3 linked regions of the Callithrix jacchus genome follow. The protein of the gene in region 3 purifies or fractionates together with the protein of the main gene of each other region. This does not show direct contact. Links are inferred from orthologs where the notes say so. Each region holds a gene or a part of one and is shown on either strand. Other genes may lie near its edges.

Region 1 (8,911 bases), on a different chromosome or scaffold from region 3:
AGAATCAAAACAACAAGAATCTGACAACATCTGGCTGAAACTGGCCGACATGGATCCTGGTAGGGTAGATAATTAACCTACTTTGAGACCTATTAGCCACTTATTAGCGAAAGGTGAAAGGAGAAAGCCACCAGAAGGTAAGCAAAGCCATATGATATAAAATAAGACCATACTATTTATACACATGCCACATAATTGAATATGGTATTTAAAACTAGCATTTTTAAGCATATTAAAAATTTCAGACCCTAACAAGTCCTACCTTTGTGATAACTAAGTGCCTAAGATTAAACCATCACCTCTTATAAAATTCCATTTCTACTAACTATATTACTTTACCCTCTAATAATCATTAAACATATAACCTGTCCATGACCTAGTCCCCTACCACTATGCTTTATTGGGCTAATCTCAACACCTCATCATTTTCTAACATTAAACTCTTCATGTTCATCCTAAAATTGGGCAAATTTTATAACATGATAATCATTTATGGGAAAACAATATAAAATTATATCTAGGGAATATAACTCGAGTTTTTTAAAAAGTCAAAGAAAATATGCCCTGGAAGGTAAAATAATTGATCTTCCTTTGGCTTTCTCAGAGTTTTTATATTTTCCAGATTTTCTATGAGAATGTATCATTTTTAATGTCTAATGTCTAAAAATGTATTTTAGACAAATTCAAAAGATCAGTGGGCTTAAATAAAACTTTTATAATACTTCTTCTAAATGTTCTCTCTCCACCAAGCTCAAACATTCCATGGACCAAACATTTATGTAATAGAAGATTCCTTATTTTTTAATGTTGTCTTAAAAAAAAAAAAAAGCAGGCTTAAGAAGCTTATGTTTTCTTCCTTCTTAAATTAACACAGCAAAAATTAGACAAGTAAAACATGGCAACTCACATTTAAATGCTCCTATCATGAAAGTACTATTTTACTAATAAAATACTCATTTAAAAATAAGAAATATTTTATTAATAAAAGAACTATATCCACCCTATTTCTTGAGAACGAAAAAGGAATTTTATTATTTAATATAATATGAAGAGGAGACTTCCACACACACACTCCCAACAAAGCATGGGATTTGAGGCTCGCCCCACCTTGCCTTTATTTCTGTAGTAAGGATAAACTACGCTGACTACACATACTCTTATTTGGATCCCAGTGAGACTGAGGCAGTAAGAACAGGCAAATATATGTCCTTTCTAATTTATATATTTTTAAAAACTTTGTTATTAAAATAGAACAAACAAAAAAGAAAAGACAGCCAGCTTAACCTTCAGCAAGTCAAGTTTACTATGCTCCGTGTGCTGGGTGAGGCACAGGCTTTCTCAGAAGTAAAGCCCATCAGACTCTCCCAAGCAGCACCTTCCTTCCGGCTTTGGCCATATTACCACCACGTTCTAATGGATCTAATCTCAAGCTCTTGTAAATGAGGGTGGGCAAGCAGCCAGGCCATGCCACCCCATGATCTAACTCTACCCACCCCCTGCACCAACAACTCCTCCTTTGTCCAGTCCCACTCCCGACAACGCCTTCCTAGCTATGACTACTACAACCCAAATAGGAAGAGAGAATGATGATCAGAGGCAGAGCTAACATTTATGGAGCTAACAGTAAGCAGTGCCTGCCTCCATGCAAACAACAGTCATGACGGACCACCCGGATTAGCCACCTCAACTGCAAAACAGAGCCCTTCTACAACTATTCTGTCACTTTTCCCATTAGTTCACACTTATTAAGTATAATATTAACAGATACATAGGTACTCTGTGCCAGGCCCTGAAGTCTGAAACTACTTCAAAGTCAAAATAAACACCATGTGATAATGAAAATGTATTATTTCACTAACAAATTAAAAAGATGTATTTCAAGAGGTACCCTTGAAAATGTACTCACTGCAATCTAAACATAATCATTTGGGTCAGGCTATAATACTATCTTATGAAAAACAAATTTTACTAATTTTCACATGTAAGCAGAACACTAGTGATCTAAAATAACGACACAGCTGAAGAAAACTATTAACAGTTACTTAACCCAATTAAGGTACTGCACATGTGTCCAGGTACCTTATTTTGACAAATGAAAAAATTATATACACTTCAGTATTTATAGAATGATATTTCAACTTATCCTAAATGTTTTCACAGCTGCTGATTTTCTGAGAAGTATTTCGTTTAAGTCCAGCCCATCTTCTCTCCACCATTCCACACACACACCCAGTATCATCCCTGCTTCACCCGGCATTCCAGGAGATAGGAAGGACTTTTAACACTTTTATACTGAATGCAGAACTTAGTACTCCAGATCAAACTGTAGAAGTAAATGTAAATGATAGTCTGATAGTTCTTCCCCTTCAAGGCCCTCACAACTGAGTAAGAGTTCAAAGAAAAATATACTACACAGTTTAAATATGATAGGTGCTACTGACATTTCAAAAATGGCATGAAGTTGTATGAGGGGGATGGAGGGTTGGGTTGGAGAGGGGTAGGATTATTCAAGTAAAGCTCCCTGCTTAAGAGGTACACATCCTCGCAATACAAGGATGGGGGGTAGGGCAGAGGAAGCATTCCAAGCCTAGCAAAACGGCACCTACAAAGCTAAAGAGGTATCTTTGTTTTTCAATTTTGTGATTCTCAAGAGGACAGATAGCATTTTCTTTAAAGAATAAGACTGCAAACTACTTTGAGATATTTAGCACTATTTGAGGGTACATTAGAATGTATTCAAATACGAATAAAGACACACCCAATTTTAATAGTACCTTTTGAACAATCTCGTTCGGCCAGGCACTTTCAGTATTTGCCAACAATACACACACCCCACCTGTAATTAATGCATCTGGGTGGAAGCCCTAGAAAGAGCTCCCGATTCTGATCTTGGAGATCAGAATCCCACTTACTAAGTGTGCGACGCTGGCAAATCCCTGTGTCTCACTGTCCTAATGTGATTACAGCACATATTTATTAATATATTAATTTAAATACAGTTTGTGTCCATGAAGAACGTAAACACCATGAAAGCCGGGGCTATCCTGACCACTACAGCATCCCCAGCACTCAGCCCCACCTCTAGCACCTAGTAGCTGCTAAACGTAGATGTACAGTACCTGAGTGAATGAATAAGAGTATCACACCACTCCTGAAATCCCATTCTTTGACAGTGAACTATGATCATTACAATGTGTGTAGATCAGCAATCTGGTATCACTGTAAAAGACCTAATTATCGCATTCTTTTGAAACTGAGTAAGATAATAATTGGCGTATCTGAAAATAATTAGCCCAAACAATTCTTGAAAATCACTTTAAAATAGTCCATTTAATACCAATGCCTTCCTAAAACGTAAACTTTGAGAAAGAACCACCATCCAGTTGGGAAATGGAGTCTTCAATATGATTTCTTAAATATTGTCGATTTTATGTCCAGCTGATTTCAGCCATTTTTTGTACTGTTCCTCAGCATGCAGTAGAGAATCTGCTTTTAAAGCATCTTTCCGATCAGATTCACCACTCCTCAAAGAAAAATATACACAATGGACCATCCTTAGATGGAAAATTGCTTGAGGCTCTCCTATATGAAATCGGTTGCATAAATAGGGCCAGTGAGGCATCAAACACAAGCTTTCAGAAGTCTTTAATAACAACCAATAGGTCCACGTTGCAAAGAACAACTTTTTTCGGTGATGACTCATAAATTATGATCCCTACATATAAGCTCATGAGGCGCTAATGAAACGAATTTGTCTCATCATGTGGAAAACTGTGGTCCTTCTGGCCAAGCACAAAACACCAAGTTTTAAACGCGCCCACGTTTTGCTTAATTCGGGACTTCCAGCGAGGATTAGCGCTTTTCCTTTATAGTCTATTTAAGCGCCCTAAGAAAACAAATATCATCGCATTGGCAGGCGGTCCCCGCACACAGACAGACGTAGCTTCACCACATACAGATGTGTCTGGTGGGCCGAAGTAAACAAATGACAGGAAAGCTAATGCTTTTAAAGATTAACGTGCATTCCCACAGACAAGACTGCCACCTGGACACACGGCTGGAAACGAGAGCTCGTGCCTCTCCGAAGAGAAAAATGGAGAGAATTTCAACAACACTTATTTAAAGTTTCCATCTTTACATACGCCCCTTTCCGCCAGCGCGGGGTCGGGGACTCGGCCCGGCCAGCGGCGCGAGGAAATCTGCACTTGACTTCCGTCCTCTCCCTGGCGGGAAAGAGCGCAGCCCGCCCCGGCAGAGACCCTTCCTTCCTGCCCGCCGACCCCCACCCCGCCCGGGGACACCTCCCTCTCGGCGCGCGGCCAGGAGGAAATGGAGCCCTCGCGGCTCCGCAGCTCCTCGCCCCCTCCTCGGCGACCCTGGCCCAGGGCCGCGCTCGGGCTCCTGCGCGCCCACCCGCTGCCCCGCCACAGGCCAGGCGCGCTTCGGCCCTTGGCCCGGCGCGGACACCAGCAGTTCGGTCGGGGACTCCCGGAGGCCAGTGCCCACCCCTCGCCGCGTCCCGCACCGTGGGCCCCTCACCGCCACCCTCGCGCAGCCCCGGCCCGCCAGGCGGCGCCCCCTCCCCGGACGCCTGGGCCGCTCACCCCCGCGCTCCCCGCCCGAGCGCCGTCCGACCGCCCCCACCCGGGCCGCCCGCACGCCCGCCCCCGCGCTAGGCCCCGCGAGCGGCCACAGGGAGAAACGGGTCCAGCGCCGTCCGCCCGCCCGAGAGGTCCCGGCTGCCCCTGCCGCCCGCCCGCTGCACCTACCATGGTACAGATGGAGGCGAATTTGGAGACTGTCATTAGGATTTCCATCCGCCCAGCGCCATCTTCCACCCAATCACAGCGGCGGCGGCGGGCGGGGGATGAGGGGAGCCGGGCCGCCCGCTCGCACTGCAGCCCGCGGGCGGACCCCGAGCCGCAGCGGACCCACGCACCGAGCCCGCTGGGCCGCCGCTGCCGTCGTCGCCGCCGGCGCTCAGGCACTCCCGGCCTCGGGCCCCAGCCCCCCGCCTGCCGGCCGCCGGCCCGCCCCCGGCTCCGCCCCGGCGCAGGGCGCAGCCGCTGCCTCCGGGCCCGCGCCTGCCCGCGAAGCCGCCCGCCGCCCACCCCGCCCAGCGCGCAGGGGAGCGGACTCCGCTGAGGCCCTAATGCCCGGCCTGCCAGGCAGCAGCGCGGCCCGGCGGCGCAGCCCCGCCCACCCCTCGGCGCCCCCCTCGGCGGCCCGGGAGCGCGAGCCAAGGAACTCCTGCCCGGCCCCACCCCGCGCGAGGCCGAGGGCGGGACCGAGGGCGGGCACTGTCTTTTGCCTGCGTCCCTGCGGTCCTAGTGCCGGGCGCCCGAGCCCCCTCGTAGGAAGAGGGGCGGCGAGGAGTCGCGGGGGCGGCTGCGGCGACCTGGGAGAACCCGGGAGGGGCCAGACTGCGACACCCACCGCGGGCGAGGCTATAGTGATCTCCCGCTGCCTAAACAGAAAACGGAGGCGATGATCTGGGTAACTTCGTGCGGAGTGGGAGGAAACATGCTCTGCACAGTTAAGATAACCCAGGTATGCGTCCCAAGAACTTGGTTTCTTTTTCCGTGTATTGGATGAATTCCTGGAGTCAAACACAACTTAGAAAAAGACAAAATAATCAAATAAAAATGAAGCGGCAAAGAACAAATTACACGTTTAACTCTTTGAATTAAGAAGAAAGATAAGTAATGGGGGAAGTGGGGAGAGCAACGAATCCTGTCGGCCTGTTGCCCATAAATTTAGAATAGGTTTCTAAATATCTGCACATTGTGCTACAGAATAGAGAAGATCTCAAGCCAGCAGTGATGATGATATTACCAGAAACAAGAAGCCCGCAAGCAAGAAAAATGCCCTGTGAGAAATCCTCAGGCAGTGCTGGCTACTGGCATGGGTAGTTCCTCTTTTCTCCTCTTATAAAATTCATCATTGCACCCAGTTCATCGTGTCTGGCAGCTCAGCTTTATTTTTTCCTATTTGAGAAAGTAGTTCAAGTGAGTGGAATAGCTTCATAAATTATGATGTTAAAAAGCTCTTTTTTTTTGAGACACAGTCTCTGTCGCCCAGGCTGGAGTGCAATGGCGTGTTCCTGGCTCACCGCAACCCCTGCCTCCCAGGTTCAAGCGTTTCTCCTGCCTTACCCTCCCCAGTAGCTGGGGTTACAGGCGTGTGGCACCACGTCGGGCTAATTTTTGTATTTTTTTAGTAGAGACGGGGTTTCACCATGTTGGTCAGGCTGGTCATGAACTCCTGACCTCGTGATCCGCCCGCTTCGGCCTCCCAAAGTGCTGGGATTACAGGCTTGAGCCACCGCGCCCGACCCGTGATATTTTCTAATTGCTGAAGTGATGGGGTACTTTTCTGGGTTCCCCTAATTCAGTGGGGTTGTGGATCTGAATTCAGACAGCTCTAAATCGTAAGTGCCTCACCTCAAGTGTTCAAAGCAGTCAAAAACAAAAAGCATTCAAACAAAATGTAAGTGAAAAATAGACTTCTGGTACATGAATACTGTTTCCATAGTGATTCCATTATAAGCTTGCTTGGTGGGGGGGGGGAATGCAGATTGAATATAGCCAAGTCCCATGGTATCTGGCCTGGTTCTCCAGGTGCCTGCTTCCGTGGAAGCCAAGAGCCCTGATACCCAAGCCAGGGGCTTCCCTGTCTAGACTTGATAGCATCACCCACCTGAATTCTTTCTTGCTCTTTTCTACCCCGTTTGGACAAGGCTTCTACATCTTGAGTATTTTGAGTGTCACTATGGCTCTGAACCATGTCTGTCTGTCCATCCTGATAAATAGCTGTGGTCATCCTGTCCTTCCCACTTGCTGTTCTATTCCAGCAAACAGGTCTGATGTGCCAGAATTTTAGCCCTGCCTCCATCCGCACTTACCACCCGATGCCTCCTTGCCCATTAATCCTAACACACCACAGGAACAAAGCCTTTCTAAAATGAATTTCTAGGCCAGATATGGTGGCTAATACCTGTAATTCCAGCACTTTGGGAGGCCAAGACAGGTCAGGATCACTTGAGGTCAGGAGTTGGATACTAGCCTGGCCAACATGATGAAATCCCATCTCTACTAAAATACAAAAATTAGCCAGGCACACACCTGTAATCCCAGCTACTCAGGAGGCTGGGGCATGAGGATAGCTTGGGTCCTGGAGGTGGAGGTGCAGTGAGCTAAGATTGCACCACTGCATTCCAGCCTAGGTGATGGAGTGAGACTCTCTTAAATAAATAAATAAATAAATAAATAAATAAATTTCTAGGCTGGGCACAGTGGCTCATGCCTATAATCTCAGCCCTTTGGGAGGCTGAGGCAGGAGGTTGTTTGAGCTTGAGACCAACTCCCTTAAGGCCAGTGAGTTCAAGACCAGTCTGGGCAACATAGTGAAACCTTGTCTCTACTAAAAATAAAAATAAAATAAATCAATGGTGCATGACGGTGCATACCTATAGTCCCAGCTACCTGGGAGGCAAGGTAGGAACATCACTTGAACCCAAGAGATTGAGGTTGCAGTGAGCCATGATTGAGCCACTGCACCGTAGCCTGAGCAACAACCAAAACCCTGTCTCAAAATTACAATAAAATGAGAAAGGCACAGTGGCTATTGCTTGTAATCTCAGCACTTTGGGAGGCCAAGGTGGGTGGATTACGTGAGGTCAGGAGTTCAAGATCAGCCTGGCCAACACGGAGAAACCCCATCTCTACTAAAATTAGCTGGGCATGGTTGCAAGCAAGCTATTCAGGAGGCTAAGGCAGGAGAATCAAGTGCACCTGGAAGGAAGCAGTGAGCTGAAATCCTGCAACTGCACTCCAGCTTAGGCAATAGAGCGAGACTCCATCTCAAAAATTAAATTAAATTGGCTGGGCACAGTGGTTCATGCCTGTAATTCCAGCACTTTGGGAGGCCGAGGCAGGTGGATCAGGAGATCAGGAGTTCAAGACCAGCCTGGCCAGTATGGAGAAACTCCATCTCTACTAAAAATACAAAAATTAGCTGGGCACGGTGGCAGGTGCCTGTAATCCCAGCTACTCAGGAGGCTGAGGTAGGAGAATCGTTTGAACCCGGGAAGCAGAGGTTGCAGTGAGCTGAGATCATGCCACTGCACTCCAGCCTGGGTGACCCCGCGAGACTCCATCTCAAAAAAAAAAAAAATTAAATTAAATTAAAAAGTAAATAAAATGGATTTCTGATAGAATTATCTGGAGTCATATCTAGTTGATATTGGAGCCATCTAAATTCACAAAGTCATGAAATCTAATCGCAGAGCCTCACAATGCCTTGTCTCCATAGCCTATGGTTGATTGGAGAGCCACAAATGTAAAAGAGAGGTGTGTGTGCTAGGTGTTGTACTGAGTGTTCTTTACCATATGTAATGCATTGGAGAATAAGTTTGGCTGAGACTCCACACTTTTGCACCCTGAGCTAGGAAAGGGTAATCTAGCTTTAGAACACAGCTTTACACAGCTGTGTAATTGGTTTTACAAAGAGCTTCCTGTGCCTAGCAAAAGATGTTTGTGTACAACTGACTCCTTTTGGGCCTTCTTGAATCTGCAAACTACAAAATATACCCAGATGCCTCAGGGACCAGGCAAGTAAATGAATGATGTCCAACCTTAATCCATTTAGTCAGCACAGCTTTTTTTTTTTTTTTTTTTTTGGAGATGGAGTTTCGCTCTTGTTACCCAGGCTGGAGTGCAATGGCGCAATCTCGGCTCACCGCAACCTCCGCCTCCTGGGTTCAAGCAATTCTCCTACTTCAGCCTCCCGAGTAGCTGGGACTACAGGCTGTGCCACCATGCCCAGCTAATTTTTTGTATTTTTAGTAGAGACAGGGTTTCACCATGTTGACCAGGATGGTCTCGATCTCTTGACCTAGTGATCCTCCCAC
Region 2 (8,219 bases), on a different chromosome or scaffold from region 3:
TAATAAATTAGTTTCAAGAGTTGTTTCAAATATAATTTTAATAGTTCTTCTTAAGAATCAGTTCCAAATATATTAGAGACCAACCATCATTTTCTTAAAACTTTGTAACTTGCAGTCAAATATATGGATTCTGTATAGTACAAACATTTCCCTACATCAATCACCATCAGTTGGAAAGCGCCTCTCCTTAAAAAGAGAATAAAGACTCACCTTCCAGGTAGTGATCACTGCGTAAGTTTCATGGAGGATAAAAAGAAAATATTTATAAATATGAAATCGCCTCTAAACAAGGCAAGGTACATTTCCATCACATATATGAAACAATAACATGAAGATCACCCTGTTTTGTCTTCTCCAGTGAAAAGTAAAACATTTCACTTCAAGCATAAACAGATGAAATGTTGGCATGCTTACTTAAGTTCTGAGCAATAAACAGTTCAAGATATTCCAAAGACAAGAAATCCAGTTTTCATCTAGATAAAGTGCTATCCTCTTCATTGTTGTAAAATGGCCACTTACATTTTCCATTTCCATTTTAGTTCACATTATGCCCAAAGTTTGCATGTTCATCAGCGGATGCATTAGGTAACAAAAATATGTTCACAGTTTATTATAGTGTGTGGAAGTTAAGTGACTTCCAAAGGAAGCCAAGATCTATGACTCAAAAACCAGCTCAACGGCAAAACACCAAACGACCCTTTTAATTAAAGGTACCAGTACTCAAATGCTCTAATAAATACATATATAATAAAAGGGAAAAAAGTAACTACAGTGAGATGAGGTTCTTCCAAAAAAAATCTGTCTTCTCGAGCATTCTAGGAGTCTGACCCAAAGAAACAGCGCCATTCTGTTCATTCCTCCCCCTGCCCACAGACACTTCCTCTGAGCCACCTTCATACCCAGCTAACTCTGGTATTCCCTCTAGGGAAGGTTCTATATCAGCCCTGGGACTCGCCAGTGCCTCAGTAAACAGAAGGACTATGTTAAAAAGTTAAGTTGTACAATGTGCTGATAGCTGGAAAGATGCAGTGCCTTTGCTATTCCTGATAAGGAACAATGTCGATGCTGACTGGCTAAGGGGAGGTGTGCCAGCCCTGCAGCCACTGACTGCACACACCAACAGGAGTGGAAAGATACCTTGAAAAGCTTAGCAGTGCCGGATACAGAATAAACACAACTCACAGGGCCTTACAGAAGAAGTGTGACTGAAAATAAATAGCACAGAGTTATTTTCCTGAAACTTGGTTTTGGTAGAAACGTACAAAAAGTAACTTTTCATTGTCCACAAAAATTTCCTCCTTTTGGCTTTGCCTGCCCTGAGCCTTCTTAACCCCTGGAATTCTAACAGCAAGGTCAGCACAGCCCAGTGCCAATGCCAGCCAGCACCAGCCACCACGGACAGCTTCTCTTCACCCTGTTCCATGTCCAGGATGATTTTAGTATCGAGGTTACTCACTTTTCAACATTTTCACTTGCACAAACTTAAAGCTATAGTTGCAACCCTAAAAGGTGATTATCTACCCAATTCTTCTGTCCTTGTATGAGAAAAGAGGTGGAGAAGTTGAAAATGGGTAGCAATGCTTCCAGGGACAAGTTAAAGGAATGCATTGTCAGAAGACCCTGGAAGCCGTAGAAGTTTAGCAAACACTTAAAATAGACTGTAGACATTCATAGGAAATGTCACTCTAATACAGCCAGACATAACGAATGGCATAGCTTTCACCCAATCCTAAAATTAGCAACTGTTATTCATATAAATCTGACTACAATCTGATTGCAGTTAACTCTACCTCAGACCGAAATAAAACCAAGAGTAGTGTTGTATGTAAAAACAGAAAAGGAGAGAGTCTAACACAGCCAGACCATTGAGACTTGGAGTGATATCATAGTGGGCCACTAGGGAAGAAGAAAGACTGCAGAGAAACCAGGTAATAGTGCTTTGAACATTTCCCCCCACTTGAATTAGTCCCACAGTTCTTTTAAGTTACTCTCTTGACTGATAGAATAAAATATATCCAGATTCTGAATTTTTCGATATATCTGATGTCAGGCCATAGAATTCTTCAATAGCTTGAGCATCTATTTTCTGCAATAAAAAAGAAAGAAAACAATACAATTACTTAACATGATACCTGGGAAAAGGAAATAAAAAACTAATGGAACATACATTAAAATGCAAGGAACACAATTTCTTATAAAATCATGATTAGAGAACTGCGCGCAGTGGCTGATGCCTGTAATCCCAACACTTTGGGAGGCAGAAGCGGGCAGATCTCGAGGTCAAGAGATGGAGACCCTCCTGGCCAACATGGTGAAACCCCATCTCTACTAAAATACAAAATTTGTTGGGCTTGGTGATGCGTGCCTGTAGTCCCAGCTACTTGGGAGGCTGAGGCAGTTTAACCTGGGAGGCAGAGGTTACAGTGAGCCGAGATCATGTCACTGTACTCTGGCCTGGTGACAGAGGGAGACTTCGTCTCAAAAAAAAAAAAAAAAAAAATCGTGATTAGGAACTTTCACTGGCAAATGGAGAATTCCACTGACTTGGCTGAAGGTCATCATCACATAAATTGCACATCTCTAGGAAAAAAGGCAACGTCTCCATACATCAGCAACCCTGTGTGGGCATTCTTTGAAGAAACCAAGACATCTCCCAAATGGTAAACTGGTGGGTCCTGAAAATAGCCTTCAGTCTTTCCAGCCACCAGAGTTCATCTCTTTTAGTGTTATTCCACTACAACTGCTACCCTAGTGGGTTAAAATACATCATGTCTTTGAGTGTAGAATTCATTCCAGCTAGTATTCTCTTATAACAAAATCAATACATAGAATGCACTGGTGTAAGATAGATTTCCAGATCCAGCAGACTGAAAAAAAACTTTAAACAATAATCAATACAAGAAAAATTTGTTAAAATAAAATAATCTTAATAGAACTTTGAAGTCTATTGTTTGCCCTGTATCAGAGGGGGCTTTAGTCATGATGAGATAGAGAGATCCCATGTCTGTGGCTGAACTGTGGAGAACACAGAGTCGGTGAGTCCACGATCACACTCCTTCTCCCTTTCCACAGAGCATGGGGATCAGCAGAATTTGGTTTTGAATAGAAATGTAAGTGGTCTTCAAGTTACATTATGAGGAAACAGGCCTACTTTAAAAAACGTCTATATATACACATTCCCCGAAATACTATTGATGCCCTGTGACTACTGGAGAATAATCTGCAAACCAACCTCTACAATGTCATCATCAAACAAAAGCCAGAAGCCGTGACTTTTCACAATAGTGATATAATGCCCACGATTAGGACCACTGGAAAAGAACAAATAAAAGAAGTTAGCATGTTAACATTGATCTCTTTATAAAACACTACTGAGCTCTTTACAAGCAGTGATTCTCTGGGGGGAAAACTAAGTTATCAGGACAAAGATCTTGGCATAGAGCCCATGTCTATGTCCACAACACCATGCTGGATGTAGGGGAATACAAAAGTGCGCAGGAGAGGTATCTTCTAAGGACTCATAATCCAGCAGGAAAAACAGACACTCAGATTCAGCAAATATTAACAAAACATTACTCTCTACCTACTCTGTGTTGGGCCCTATTCTAGCTGTCAGGAGAAGAAGCAGTGAACAAAACAAAGACCTCACTTATTTGGGACTTGGGATAGGAGCTAGATTGGCAATACACAAACTAAGCTTATAAATCTAGGTCAAGTGGTGAGAAGTGTCATGGAGAAGGATGAAGCAGAGTAATGGGATCTGAGCGATGGCAGGAGGTGTTATTTGATAGACGGTGAAGGGAGGCCACTTGGATAATGTGGGCACAAGAAAATTTCCCTGAAGGAAATGGCAGGGATAGGAGTAGGGGTAGGGGTAGGGGGTCAGGGGGTAGGGGGAAGCCATGCGGCTCTGGATGGAAGTTTCAGAAATAGGGAATAACAAGTGGAAAGGCCTGGGGCAGGCGAGTAACACTTGGTGTGTTCACAAACAGCAGAGAGGCCAAAGGAGGCCAGAGCAGCAGAGTGAGCGGGGAGAGGAAGACCAGAGCGGACTGAGGGGCAGGTGCAGGAGAAATCGCAGGTAAGATTTTAGGCTTTGCTTCGAGCAAGCCAGGAAGATAAGGGAATTTTAAGGAGTTGTATGATCTGTTTTAGAAAAATATCAACAAACCAAGATGCTTAGTAACAAGTATTAAAATAAAAAGCCATACAGTATGCTATATGGAAAAAAGCAGAAAGAACAACTAAGCAACAGTTACTATGTAGTTAGGTTAGATTTGCACGAGTAAGGGGATTTTAATCCTAAACCTAGAACTGTTTTTTAATGCACTGTTAAAGTTGAGAAAACCTCCCCTTTTGTTTACCCTCTTTCAGCACAAGATGATGCCAATGATCTGTTTCTGCTCTTTCTCCAGCCTCCTCCAGCTACGTCTCCCTTTCCTCTGAGCTCCAGCTCCTCAGGCTCCTCTCACACATGCCCCCTTCACATTGTGGGCCTTTGCATTGCTGTAAACTCTGCCAGAGATGATCCTTCCCCAACTGCATTCTTTTTATGCCTCAGCTCAGATGTTACCTCCCCAGATAAATCTCTGCTGACCACTTCACCTGAAGAGGTATCTCCCACCACTCACTCATCTCCCTGTTTATTCCTGATAGCACTGATCAAAATCATAAAGTATCTTGCAGTGGTTTATTTTTGGTGATAATAGAGTGGTGTGGTTTTTTTTGTTCATTATCAGTATTTCCAGATAGATTGTAAGCTTTGTGATGGCAGGGCCCCTGTGCTGTGTGTCTTTTCGTTACTCTACCTTCAGATCCTGGCATGGAACCCAGAAAACATGAGCTTAAAAAAAAACCTGCAGCAGAAATCAATGCACAAGGTTGTGCACTTGCTGCAACTATGGGCCAGGAGCATGGAAGGTAAGGCAGGCCCAGCTCCCTAACCTCAAAGCTTTCCAGTGCCACCTGGAAGCCACCCAATCTCCATGCACAGGCCAGCCCCACTCCACATAGGAGAACGGCCCTACTTCTGCTGGGAGGAGTTTGAAGAATCCTAGTTAGTAGCATGCCTGATTTGGCACCAACTGATCTTTGCTGCCAGGGCCTTTCTTACCTTGTGCTCACATTACGGAAACTGACCTTAGAGAACCCAACCTCCCACTGGTCATTCAGTTCCCTCACATGGGTCTCTGCCAGTCCTCCCAAGGATTCAAATCAGATACTCACAGAGCCCCCCGTGCAAGGGGCACCTGTGTTTCTCCTTCGCCTAGCTTTCCCAGCAGGCCCTCCCATCCACACCACCCCTGCCACCCACTTTAGCTGCAATGCCTACCAGGTCCCAGGCTCTGCCTGCCCTAAGACCTTCTCCAACCCTGCACCAATGTGAGGCCTCACCCAGCGCTCAAGGCTAGGTTCCAGTGATCTGGAAACCTGTGCTCTTCAAAAGAGTAACACCTGTTCTTCAGGGAAGAACACCACAACACAGGTATACAACTAGCCCATACATACAATTTTACTGAGAATACAAGAAAATATCCAGTGACTTAAAGTCAATACACACAGGACAAAATATGGGGTGCTTCAGATATGAAGTTACAGTTTCGGATACATCCACCCTAGCACACAATTAAAAAACAAATTAATCCATCCCTCCACGTGGCAATGGTAGTCTTCTGGTAATGTGTTCACTATAATCCATCTCAGCAGATGGAGAAAAAGACTCTTTCTCTGTGATAGGCCCCAATCTAAAACCTAGGAGGGCAGGAGGAAAGCTGTGCCTACCCGCAAGGTAGCACATAAAGCTGTCCCAGCTGAGCAAAGAATAACAAACAGGTGAATTTTCAGTATATTCTTCTGCATTTATACCAAATTACGGAATAAAAAAATCTTCTCAAATTTCGGCAAAATGCTTTGCCTCTCCGTATCTAGAGGCCTTCTCTCTCTTACTTTCTTTTTTCTGATTATATACTTATTTTAGAATTTGGGGAAAGACCAAAAATAACAAAGAATATTTTTTAAGAATATGTTCTTAATCACTCAAGTGCCAAAGATTATTAAATTTGATCCATTGCTTCTAGTCTTTATTTACACATCTTAAAATGCTTTTGAGATCATACTGTAAATCTAACTTGGCTTTTTAAAAATTAAAATCATAGCATAGACATTTGTTTCTCCATGTTATTTCAAATTCCTCAGAACCATTATTTCTATGCAATGAAGATTTATTATTTCTCTCATAACAGAACATTTAGATGATCACTGTTGGAATGCTATTTTTTAAATGTGTCTGTAGGCATGTTTATGTATTTATTGAGATGATTAGTAAGAGTTTGGAAGAGATCCCAAAAACGCTTAGTGCCATGGCACAGGAAAGGTGCAGCTGGATATATTTCAGCCAAGGGTAACCTTACGCTTACCCTGTGCACCTGCTTCCGGTCGTGCCCTTACCTGCCACAGTGAACAACCACAGCAACCAGGTCATACATGCGGTCCAGGTTCACTGCATCACTGGAGGTGTTGAAGAGCCGGAGCTCCAGAGGGAAGACCACACGGTAAGACAGCTTGGTGTATCTGTGCAACTGTTCCATGTACTTGAACCGCTTTAGATGTAGGGCCAAGATCATGGGCAGCTTTTTTACTCTCATCCTAAGAAACCATGAAATAGAAAATCAGTTGTACCCAACACCCGTTAGGTGAAGAGAATACACTGCCATCTGCACAAACAGAACAGGAGGGGAGGTCTATGAAACTTCAAACCAGCAAACAACCAAATAGTTTGCAAGGATAAAAGTATGCTGGCTTATGTAGAGCTGACTTATCCTATATCCCTGGCTCCCAAGAGCATTCCAGCAGGAGAAATGTACAATGGTGTGACTCTGTTTGGTGAAAGGTGATGTTCCAGAATTTTCGCACAAATAAAAATAGGCCATGCAATTATTCTCCATCACTGCCCTGTGCCTTCCAGAGAGGAATGATATTTGGACAATCTTCCCTGAGATGATGGAAAGGAGGTTTAAGAGATTTTGAGAACAGGAGGCTGGGAAGAGGACAAGGTGGATAGTACCGACGGCTGGACTCATAGGTTCTGAGGACTGGCAGGGGGATGGATGCTTCTGACACACACTCTTGGGCATCAGGACACCAAGCGTGCCAGGCTCAATATCATTCTGACCCTTGTGATTTTGGGCAAGTCATTTCCTTCCTCTAGCTCTAGTTCCTCATTTATAAAATGCAGGGGTTGGTTTAGGGCTATATTTCCCAAACTGGGCTCATGAGAGCACTGGAAATGTTAACAGATGTGGTGTTTCTGTGGCCAAGTAAGTTTGGGCGATGCTACTTTCTGCTTTGAAGATCCTATGTGTACATTACCAGACTGAAGATTTTGAGAAATCCTCCAGTAAAGGGATTGTTCTGTTGTTTGATGTTGGATTTCCCAAATATATAAACATAGAAAGTTTTTTTTACTAGGTGACCATTAACACTCCTCAGTAAAAAGTCACAAAGGTAACAGTTTATGCAGAGCACACTGCTAGAATAGAGGTTCTTCCAGTTTCCTTCCAGCCCCCCATTCCATGAATGTACTGAATTAAGTGTACATGCTGTTTAGTTTGTGTACATTTTTAATGCATAGTATGTGAAAAGGACAAATTTTAAAAGAATAGTTTTAAGGAACCTATTAAGGAAAAGCCCTGGTCATAAAAATAAGCAAGTAAAACATCAGTAGAAAAATAAGAATTACAAGGAACCCCATATTTCATAGGAATACAAGACATTGTAATGTATAAACCCTCCAGGGCTGAACAAAAATGTCTAAGTGCCACAAAGAAAGACCCAAGGCCAGTCTTAGACAGACTGAGGTCGTAAGGATGGGGGGCAGATGTGAGTGACCTTCCTCACTAACAAAAGGTACCTGCCTACCTCCTTGACGCCTGCCTGCAATGTGACTAACTTTGTGTAAGTTTTGCAGCAAAGAAAGTAGTACATGTTTGGGGTGAAGGCCTGGGAAGGCTGGGCAGAGAAATGATCTCAATCTCAGGTCTAGACCCTTGAGGGTTTTAGACAGCAGTATTGAGCATCTGTCAGCTGCCCTGAATACTGCCAAGACAGATTTAACTCACAGGAAGCCTTCGCGGGAGACTGAAATGGCAACTTTCCTGGCTTGTAGGGTGGACTAATGGGGAACAACTGGTTATTTCAGATTTTCCAAAAGCTGTAACTGT
Region 3 (7,595 bases):
GCGACGGCGCCGCTCGCAGGTCTGGTCCGGCTTCCGCTCAGACCCCGGTGCCGCCCCAGCCGCCGCAGCCCCCGCCCGGCCCTGCCTCCGCCTCCGGCCCGGGCGCTGCAGGCCCCGCGTCGTCCCCGCCGCCCGTAGGCCCCGGGCCCGGGCCCGCGCTGCCCGCCGTGCGCCTCAGCCTCGTGCGCCTCGGAGAGCCGGACAGCGCCGGGGCCGGGGAGCCACCCGCCACGCCCGCGGGGCTGGGCTCTGGGGGAGACCGCGTCTGCTTCAACTTGGGCCGTGAGCTCTATTTCTACCCGGGCTGCTGCCGCCGCGGGAGCCAGCGGGTGAGCGGCCTGTATCGTGGGGCCCTGGGTGCTGAAAGGATGGGGGTTCCAGAGAACTGATAAGAAGGTCCCCGAATTGACATGGGACCCTGAGATAGACATCCTAAATGTGGTGGACGTCCTAGGGCGACGGCATTCTTGGAGAGAGTGTAGGATTCTGAAACGTGATGGGAGGCCCGCGGGGTGGTGGGCAGGCGTCTTAGAGGTGATGGTGGAAACCCCTTTATGCGTAGGGGTTCTGGGATGGTGAGTATTTTAGACGTGACCGGGTATCTGAGATGAGGTGGGATCCCCGGTTCTAGGGTGGCAGGCATGGTAATGGGGAATCGTGAGATGCAGGCTCAGAGGTGATGGAGAAACCAATATTGCAGCCTGGAGTGTTCGAGAGGGGTCTTGAGATTGAGCCCAGGAATGAGGAGAAGTCTAGAAGTGATGGGGGCCTTGAACGTAATAGGGGTCTAGAAGCTGAATGGGATCCTATAGAAAATTGGGGTCTGGAGATTATGAGGCTCCTGGAAGAGATGAGCATGTGGAAGCTGATGGGAGATCTTGAGGAGAGGCCCTGGCAGGGAAATCTGCAGGTGTGATTCAGGGCATCCCTAAAGCAGTGTGGTGAGAGCCCTGGCAGTTTATGGTAGTCCCAGAAATGTTGGGGATCCTCAGAGCCCACAGGTGATAAATGGGCCTAAAATGTGGGAGGCCATGAGGTTTGATGGGTCTCCGAACTGTGGCGGCTTAGCGACTCCAAAGTGAAGGGAGTACTGGGACGTTAGGCTTCAGAGTCCTGGGAATTTGGATGACCTCAAGGTCTGGGGGTCTTGGAATATTGTGGTAATAGGTCCCAAGGGAGTTGCTGAGGTTATAGGCTGGAGAGGTGGGGCTAAAAGGAATCGGAGCTCAGGAACTGTGTGGACCCAGAACCCTGATGCTGTGGACAAGGGTGTGTCTGAATTAGGGGTGACCCAACTTTGGGGAGACACTGTGGTCAAGGGGGATCCTTACCATCTTTTTCACTCCTCTGTGATTTGGGTCCCCTTCCTGCCTGTGGTTGCCCCCTCCTTCTCAACCCTCCTACTCACCTCCCCACTTCCCTCTGGGTTCTAACCCTGCTTCCTCTTAGTGGTTTCCCCCAACCTCAACATCTTCTTCCTTCCCCTCAGTGGCATAGACGGTTAACTCCTTTTCTCCCACCCCTCAAGTCCATTGATCTCAACAAGCCAATTGACAAGCGGATCTACAAGGGCACCCAGCCCACCTGCCACGACTTCAACCAGTTCACTGCTGCCACGGAGACCATCTCCCTGCTGGTGGGCTTCTCAGCCGGCCAGGTGCAGTACTTGGATCTCATCAAAAAGGACACCAGCAAGTTATTCAATGAGGAGGTGATTGCACCCCGCAGAGTCCCCAACTGCTCTGCCTTCTCACCCACCCACTATTCGCCATTAGGCTGCAGCCGCCTGGGGAACAGTGTAGACCTGAGATGGGCAGGACGAGGGACAGATGGAGAATTAGGGGACAGCAGCTAATGACAGCTGCACTTACTGTACCCAGGCCCTATGCTGTGTTACCCCCCCATGCTGAATACTCCTTAAGTTTTTTAATTTTTTTTAACTTTTATTAATTTTAATTTTTATGTATTTGAGGCAGAGTCTCGCTCTGTTGCCCAGGCTGGAAGGCAGTGGGGCAATCTCAGCTGACTGCGGCCTCCACCTCCCCGGTTCAAACAATTCTCCTGCCTTAGCCTCCTGTGTAGCTAGGACGACAGGTGTGCCATGCCCAGCTAAGTTTTGTATTTTTAACAGAGACAGGGTTTCACCATGTTGGCCAGGCTGTTCTCAAATTCCTGACCTTGTGATCCACCTGTCTCGGCCTCCTAAAGTGCTGGGGTTACTTGGAGAGCGAGGTGTGAGCCACCGCACCCAGCCACTCTTTGGGTTTTCATCAATCACTGGATACAGAAGTGGGCTGCCTATTTTGCAGATCAGAGAACTGAGGCTAGTAAATAAGTTGGGTCTTAGTTGATGCCCTTGTTGTTTGATTTCTGGACTCTGGAGGCTTTGGATTCAAAGCCCTGCTGCACCATTTACCCACCACGTGACTTTGGGAAGGTGACCATTTTCTGAGCCTCACTTTTCCTCCTCTGCAAAATGGGATTCCAGTTCCTCCCTCGCAGAATTGCTATTGTAGAATCATACATGGAGACTGCTCAGTCCTAGGCCAACTTGGCACACAAGGAGATGCCAGCAAACGACCTTATCCTTGGGCAGGGACTGCTCTTGGCTTCTGTCTCATTCTCTCTGGTCCAGAGGAGGTGTTCCATAAATATTCTCAGAATGAGTGAATGGCTGAAGGGAGTGAGTAGAACAGCAAGTGGATTAAAAATTCATTAGCTCATCCATTCACAAATAGTTTTTGAGCATCTGTTATGTGCCAGGCACTGTTCCCAGCACTAGGGATATCACATCTCAGGGGCCTGGACAGGAGGCCCTGCCCTTTTGGAGCTTTCAGTCTAGCTGGGGAGACGGACAGTTAATCAAGTTAAGTCTTCGTGTGTCAGCAGGGGATTAAGGCCTGTGGAGAATTAAACAGTGGGGAAGGGGCTCAGGGAAGCTTGGAGAGGGTAGTGGGGTGGTCAGGAAAGGCCTCACTAGGAGGTAATATTGAAATAAGCACCTGAAGGAGGCAGGCGTGAAAAGTTACCTGGGGAAGGACATCCTTTTTTTTTTCTGAGGTAGAGTCTCACTCTGTCATCCATGCTGGAGTACAGTGGTGCAATCTTGGTTCACTGCAACCTCCGCCTTCCAGGCTCAACCAGTGCTCTCAATTCAGCCTCCTGAGTAGCTGGGACTACAGGTGTGCACCAACACACTGGCTAACTTTGGTATTTTTTGTAGAGATGAGGTCTCTTTATGTTGCCCAGACTGGTCTCGAACTCCTGGGCTCAAGTGATTCGCCTGCCTCGACCTCCCAAAGTGCTGGGATTATCGGTGTGAGCCACTGCGTATGGCCAAGAAGGACATTCTGAGTAGCGGGGCCAGCTAGGGCAAATGCAGGCTGGCACAGAAGCCGTGTGGCCAGAGGGAGAGAGGATGGTAGGTGAGTTCCAAGAAACAACAGAGGGACCGGCTCACGGAGAGTCTGGAAGGCCACAGAAAAGACTTTGCCTTTTACTCTTAGAGGGTAGCCTGTGGAGGAGCCTTTCTCAGCAGGCTCACCTGAGCCCTGGAAGGCAGAAATGGCTGGAGTGGTTATTTGCTCAGTTCTCCCAAAGATGGTCGGCACCTCATTCCCTAAGGGAGAGCAGCTCCTTAGTCACATAGGCTGGCTGCCTGAGGGCATTAGGTCCTCGGCCTCTGGAACCCTGCTTGAGAGAGGCTTCTAAGCATTGAGAGCCAGACAGTGCCAGGTGCTAGCTGATACTTCACAGAGCATCTCCGCGGCAGCTGCAGAGGACAGACAGGCCCAGGCAGTAGAGACTGAGGCCAGTCACACAGTATTGCAGGTGGTTGGAGTGGGGTGGTGAGAGGAGGTTACATTCTGGGTGTATTTTGAAGGTAGAGCCCCCAGGATTTGTTGAAGGATTGGGTTCAACAGGGGCAGTTGCTTACGTTTTTCATCTAAGCATCTAGCAGGATGGGGGGTGATCATTTGTCCAGGAATCACCTTCGAGCTGCCTTCTGGGTGCACTGATGTACAGAACAGTGAGCCAAACAAAGATCCCTGTCACCCAGGCTAGAGTGCAATGGCGCAATCTCGGCTCACTGCAATCTCTGCCTCCCTGGTTCAAGTAGTTCTCCTGCCTCAGCCTCCTGAGTAGCTGAGTAGCCACCATGCCCAGCTAATTTGTGTGTTTTTAGTAGAAATGGGGTTTCACCATGTTGGCCAGGCTGGTCTCAAACTCCTGACCTTATGATCCACCCGCCTTGGCTTTCTAAAGTGCTAGGGTTACAGGTGTGACCTAGGAGGAGCTGGCTTTCTGTGAAGAAATTTCTTGCTTGAAGTCTGACATAGAAAAGATTGGGGGAGGGTTAGGCAGAGCAGTGATCCCCAACCTTTTTGACACAGGAACCGGTTTTATGGAAGACAGTTTTTCCACAGAATGTTGTGGGGATGGTATTGGGATTGGGATGAACCAATATGATCCACCTCTGATCATCAGGAATTAGGTTCTCATAAGGAGCACATACCCTAGATCCCTCGCATGCGCAGTTCATGGTGGGGTTCGTCGGGTTCGTGCTTCTGTGAGGAGTGAATGCTGTGGCTGCTCCAGTAGGAGGCTGGGGTCAGGCTGTCATGCCCGCTCGCCCACCACTTACCTCCTGCTGTGTGGCCCGGAGGGTGGGGACCCCTGAGATAGAGGACAGTTCTACGGCAGGTAGGAAGGTCCCCTCACCAAAGATGGGACATCGAGGCTCCTTGGAGCACCCTGTGGCCACCTTGCAGCAGACCCCATTCCCCAGTGTTTTCATAATCTGGTGTCCATCTGTCACCCTCAGTTTGGGAACTTCTGAGGAGGGCCTGGTGTGACACCTGCTGTGTGAGTGGGGCCATGTCCAGCAGCCTTGGGGGCTTCGGGTTGGGGAGGAGATCTGCCTGGGTTTTACTGCCTTCTCCCAACCCCATCCTGTCTCCCCTGGCAGCGGCTGATCGACAAGACCAAGGTGACGTATCTGAAGTGGCTGCCTGAGTCGGAGAGCCTGTTCCTGGCATCACATGCCAGTGGCCACCTGTACCTGTACAATGTCAGCCACCCCTGCGCCTCAGCCCCACCCCAGTACAGCCTGCTGAAGCAGGGCGAGGGCTTCTCCGTCTACGCTGCGAAGAGCAAGGCACCCCGCAATCCACTGGCCAAGTGGGCAGTGGGCGAGGGTCCCCTCAACGAGTTCGCCTTCTCGCCCGACGGCCGGCACCTGGCCTGTGTGAGCCAGGATGGCTGCCTGCGTGTCTTCCACTTCGACTCCATGCTCCTGCGTGGGCTCATGAAGAGCTACTTTGGGGGCCTGCTGTGTGTGTGCTGGAGCCCTGATGGCCGCTATGTGGTGACAGGTGGCGAAGATGACCTGGTCACCGTGTGGTCCTTCACCGAGGGCCGTGTAGTGGCTCGAGGCCATGGCCACAAGTCCTGGGTCAATGCCGTGGCCTTCGACCCTTACACCACCCGTGCAGAGGAGGCAGCAACAGCAGCCGGTGCCGACGGAGAGCGGAGCGGTGAGGAAGAGGAGGAGGAGCCCGAGGCTGCAGGCACAGGCTCGGCCGGGGGCGCCCCACTCTCCCCGCTGCCCAAGGCTGGCTCCATCACCTACCGCTTCGGCTCGGCAGGCCAGGACACACAGTTCTGCCTGTGGGACCTCACTGAAGACGTGCTGTACCCGCACCCGCCCCTGGCCCGCACCCGTACCCTCCCTGGCACGCCTGGCACCACACCGCCAGCTGCCAGCAGCTCAAGGGGTGGTGAGCCTGGCCCAGGCCCTCTGCCCCGCTCGCTCTCCCGCTCCAACAGCCTCCCGCACCCAGCAGGCGGGGGCAAGGCGGGTGGCCCGGGCGTGGCGGCAGAGCCTGGCACACCGTTCAGCATTGGCCGCTTCGCCACACTCACACTGCAGGAGCGGCGGGACCGGGGGGCCGAGAAGGAGCACAAGCGCTACCACAGCCTGGGTAACATCAGCCGGGGTGGCAGTGGTGGCGGCGGCAGTAGTGGGGAAAAGCCCAGTGGCCCTATCCCCCGCAGCCGCCTGGACCCCGCCAAGGTGCTGGGCACCGCCCTGTGCCCGCGCATCCACGAGGTACCACTGCTGGAGCCCCTCGTGTGCAAGAAGATTGCCCAGGAGCGGCTCACGGTCCTACTGTTCCTGGAGGACTGCATCATCACCGCCTGCCAGGAGGGCCTCATCTGCACCTGGGCCCGGCCGGGCAAGGCGGTGAGTGGCCCCACGCCAGCCTGCCTGGGACCTGGCAGGACCCTTGGCAGGAAGAGGCAGGCATTGGCAGAGAGAGGGCTTTATCACTTTCACAGCCTCTGGCTCTGGGGTGACGGGAAGCCATGGAAGTCTTAGAGTGATGGGGTCTAGCCCTCGGCAACAGGCAGCAGAGAGGGGTGCGTGTGAGAGACGGCTGGGAGTGGGGGTGTCCAAGGCTGGCCGTCTGAAGAGCAGCAGATGGGCCCTGCATGGCCAGGTCTTAGTGCCTGTCACTCGAACCAAAATCTATTCCAGTTGGACATCTGTTTTTTTAAGTGGTGAAACTTTTTTGAGTGCTTTGGGCCAAAACGCTAGGGGGAATCTCAAGCCTGTGGGCCTGGCTGCCAGCGTGGGTCTGGGACTCAGGATCCGAGCCTCCTGCTGAAGGCGCAGGCTGGGAATCCCAGGCCCGGGTTCCAGTCCCACTCTCTGTGTGACCCTGGACAAGTCACTGCCCCCTCTGACCTCCAACTCATCACCTCTTAGAACAGAGCCTGTAGGATGGGCAGTGGGTGGATGCATTTGCCTGCTGGATGGGCTGTGGCATTGGGAAGTCACAGTAGGTGAAGCACAGGCCTGGCGCCCTGTAAGTTCAGAGCTGGTCTTGAGTGTCTGCTCCTTAGGGCTTTGGACTCAGGTGCCCAGGGTCCTAAAGGCCATGGCTTGGTTCCTTCTATCCTTGGTTTTGGAATCGTAGAGTCCTGAGTCCCTAGAACTTGAAAGCACAGTCTGAGCACCTCAGAGGCAAGATCGGTGGGATGCGGGGAGTCTGGTTGAGTCCTAAAAGAGACCCCTCTGTCTCCCTAGTTCACAGACGAGGAGACCGAGGCCCAGACAGGGGAAGGAAGTTGGCCCAGGTCACCCAGCAAGTCAGTGGTAGAGGTAGGACTGTCCCTGAGTTCTTTCCCCAGCACCTCAGGGTCCCTCCCAAGTTAGAAGGAAGCCCCAGTTTCCCCTTCCCCTCCCACCCTCACCCTTACCCCATCGTGTCACTCAGGATCTGAGGAGGACTTTGATTATTGAGTGAAAGTGCCAACTGCCAGGACAGGAAGCTAAGATGCAAGTTCCCAGCCTAGAGCAGCGGCCTTGGGGGACTCTGGGGTGGACCCAAGGGCAAGGCCAGGGTGGCAGCAGTTTTGGGGACTCTGGGCTGGCTCCCTCCCCTTGACACTGGCTGAAGTCTGGGTGGTCTCTAACCCCTCCCATCTCTCCCTCTCATCTTCCCCAGGGCATCTCCTCCCAACCAGGCAACTCCCCGAGCGGCACTGTGGTGTGAAGCCACGGACATTGGGGCCCCCACCCCACGCCC

What was found.
Region 1: the proteins of DMWD (region 3) and USP12 purify together in Homo sapiens (affinity purification with mass spectrometry; 3 studies listed by BioGRID and IntAct, with this or other methods). This does not show direct contact. The link is inferred for Callithrix jacchus from reciprocal best matches to the Homo sapiens genes DMWD and USP12.
Region 2: the proteins of DMWD (region 3) and USP46 purify together in Homo sapiens (affinity purification with mass spectrometry; 5 studies listed by BioGRID and IntAct, counting the BioPlex papers as one, with this or other methods). This does not show direct contact. The link is inferred for Callithrix jacchus from reciprocal best matches to the Homo sapiens genes DMWD and USP46.

The regions. Positions count from the first base shown.
Region 1 is NC_133506.1:146,332,553-146,341,463, forward strand, and holds the start of USP12 (ubiquitin carboxyl-terminal hydrolase 12), read right to left. Parts: upstream 5,045-8,911; 5' UTR 4,818-5,044; coding exon 4,770-4,817; intron 1-4,769. UniProt on the Homo sapiens protein: Deubiquitinating enzyme that plays various roles in the regulation of the immune response and inflammation.
Region 2 is NC_133504.1:144,022,113-144,030,331, reverse strand, and holds part of USP46 (ubiquitin carboxyl-terminal hydrolase 46), read right to left. Parts: intron 6,646-8,219; coding exon 6,448-6,645; intron 3,312-6,447; coding exon 3,233-3,311; intron 2,087-3,232; coding exon 1,985-2,086; 3' UTR 1-1,984. UniProt on the Homo sapiens protein: Deubiquitinating enzyme that plays a role in behavior, possibly by regulating GABA action. May act by mediating the deubiquitination of GAD1/GAD67.
Region 3 is NC_133523.1:39,942,330-39,949,924, reverse strand, and holds part of DMWD (dystrophia myotonica WD repeat-containing protein), read left to right. Parts: coding exon 1-329; intron 330-1,528; coding exon 1,529-1,711; intron 1,712-4,969; coding exon 4,970-6,247; intron 6,248-7,093; coding exon 7,094-7,168; intron 7,169-7,514; coding exon 7,515-7,562; 3' UTR 7,563-7,595. UniProt on the Homo sapiens protein: Regulator of the deubiquitinating USP12/DMWD/WDR48 complex. Functions as a cofactor that promotes USP12 enzymatic activity.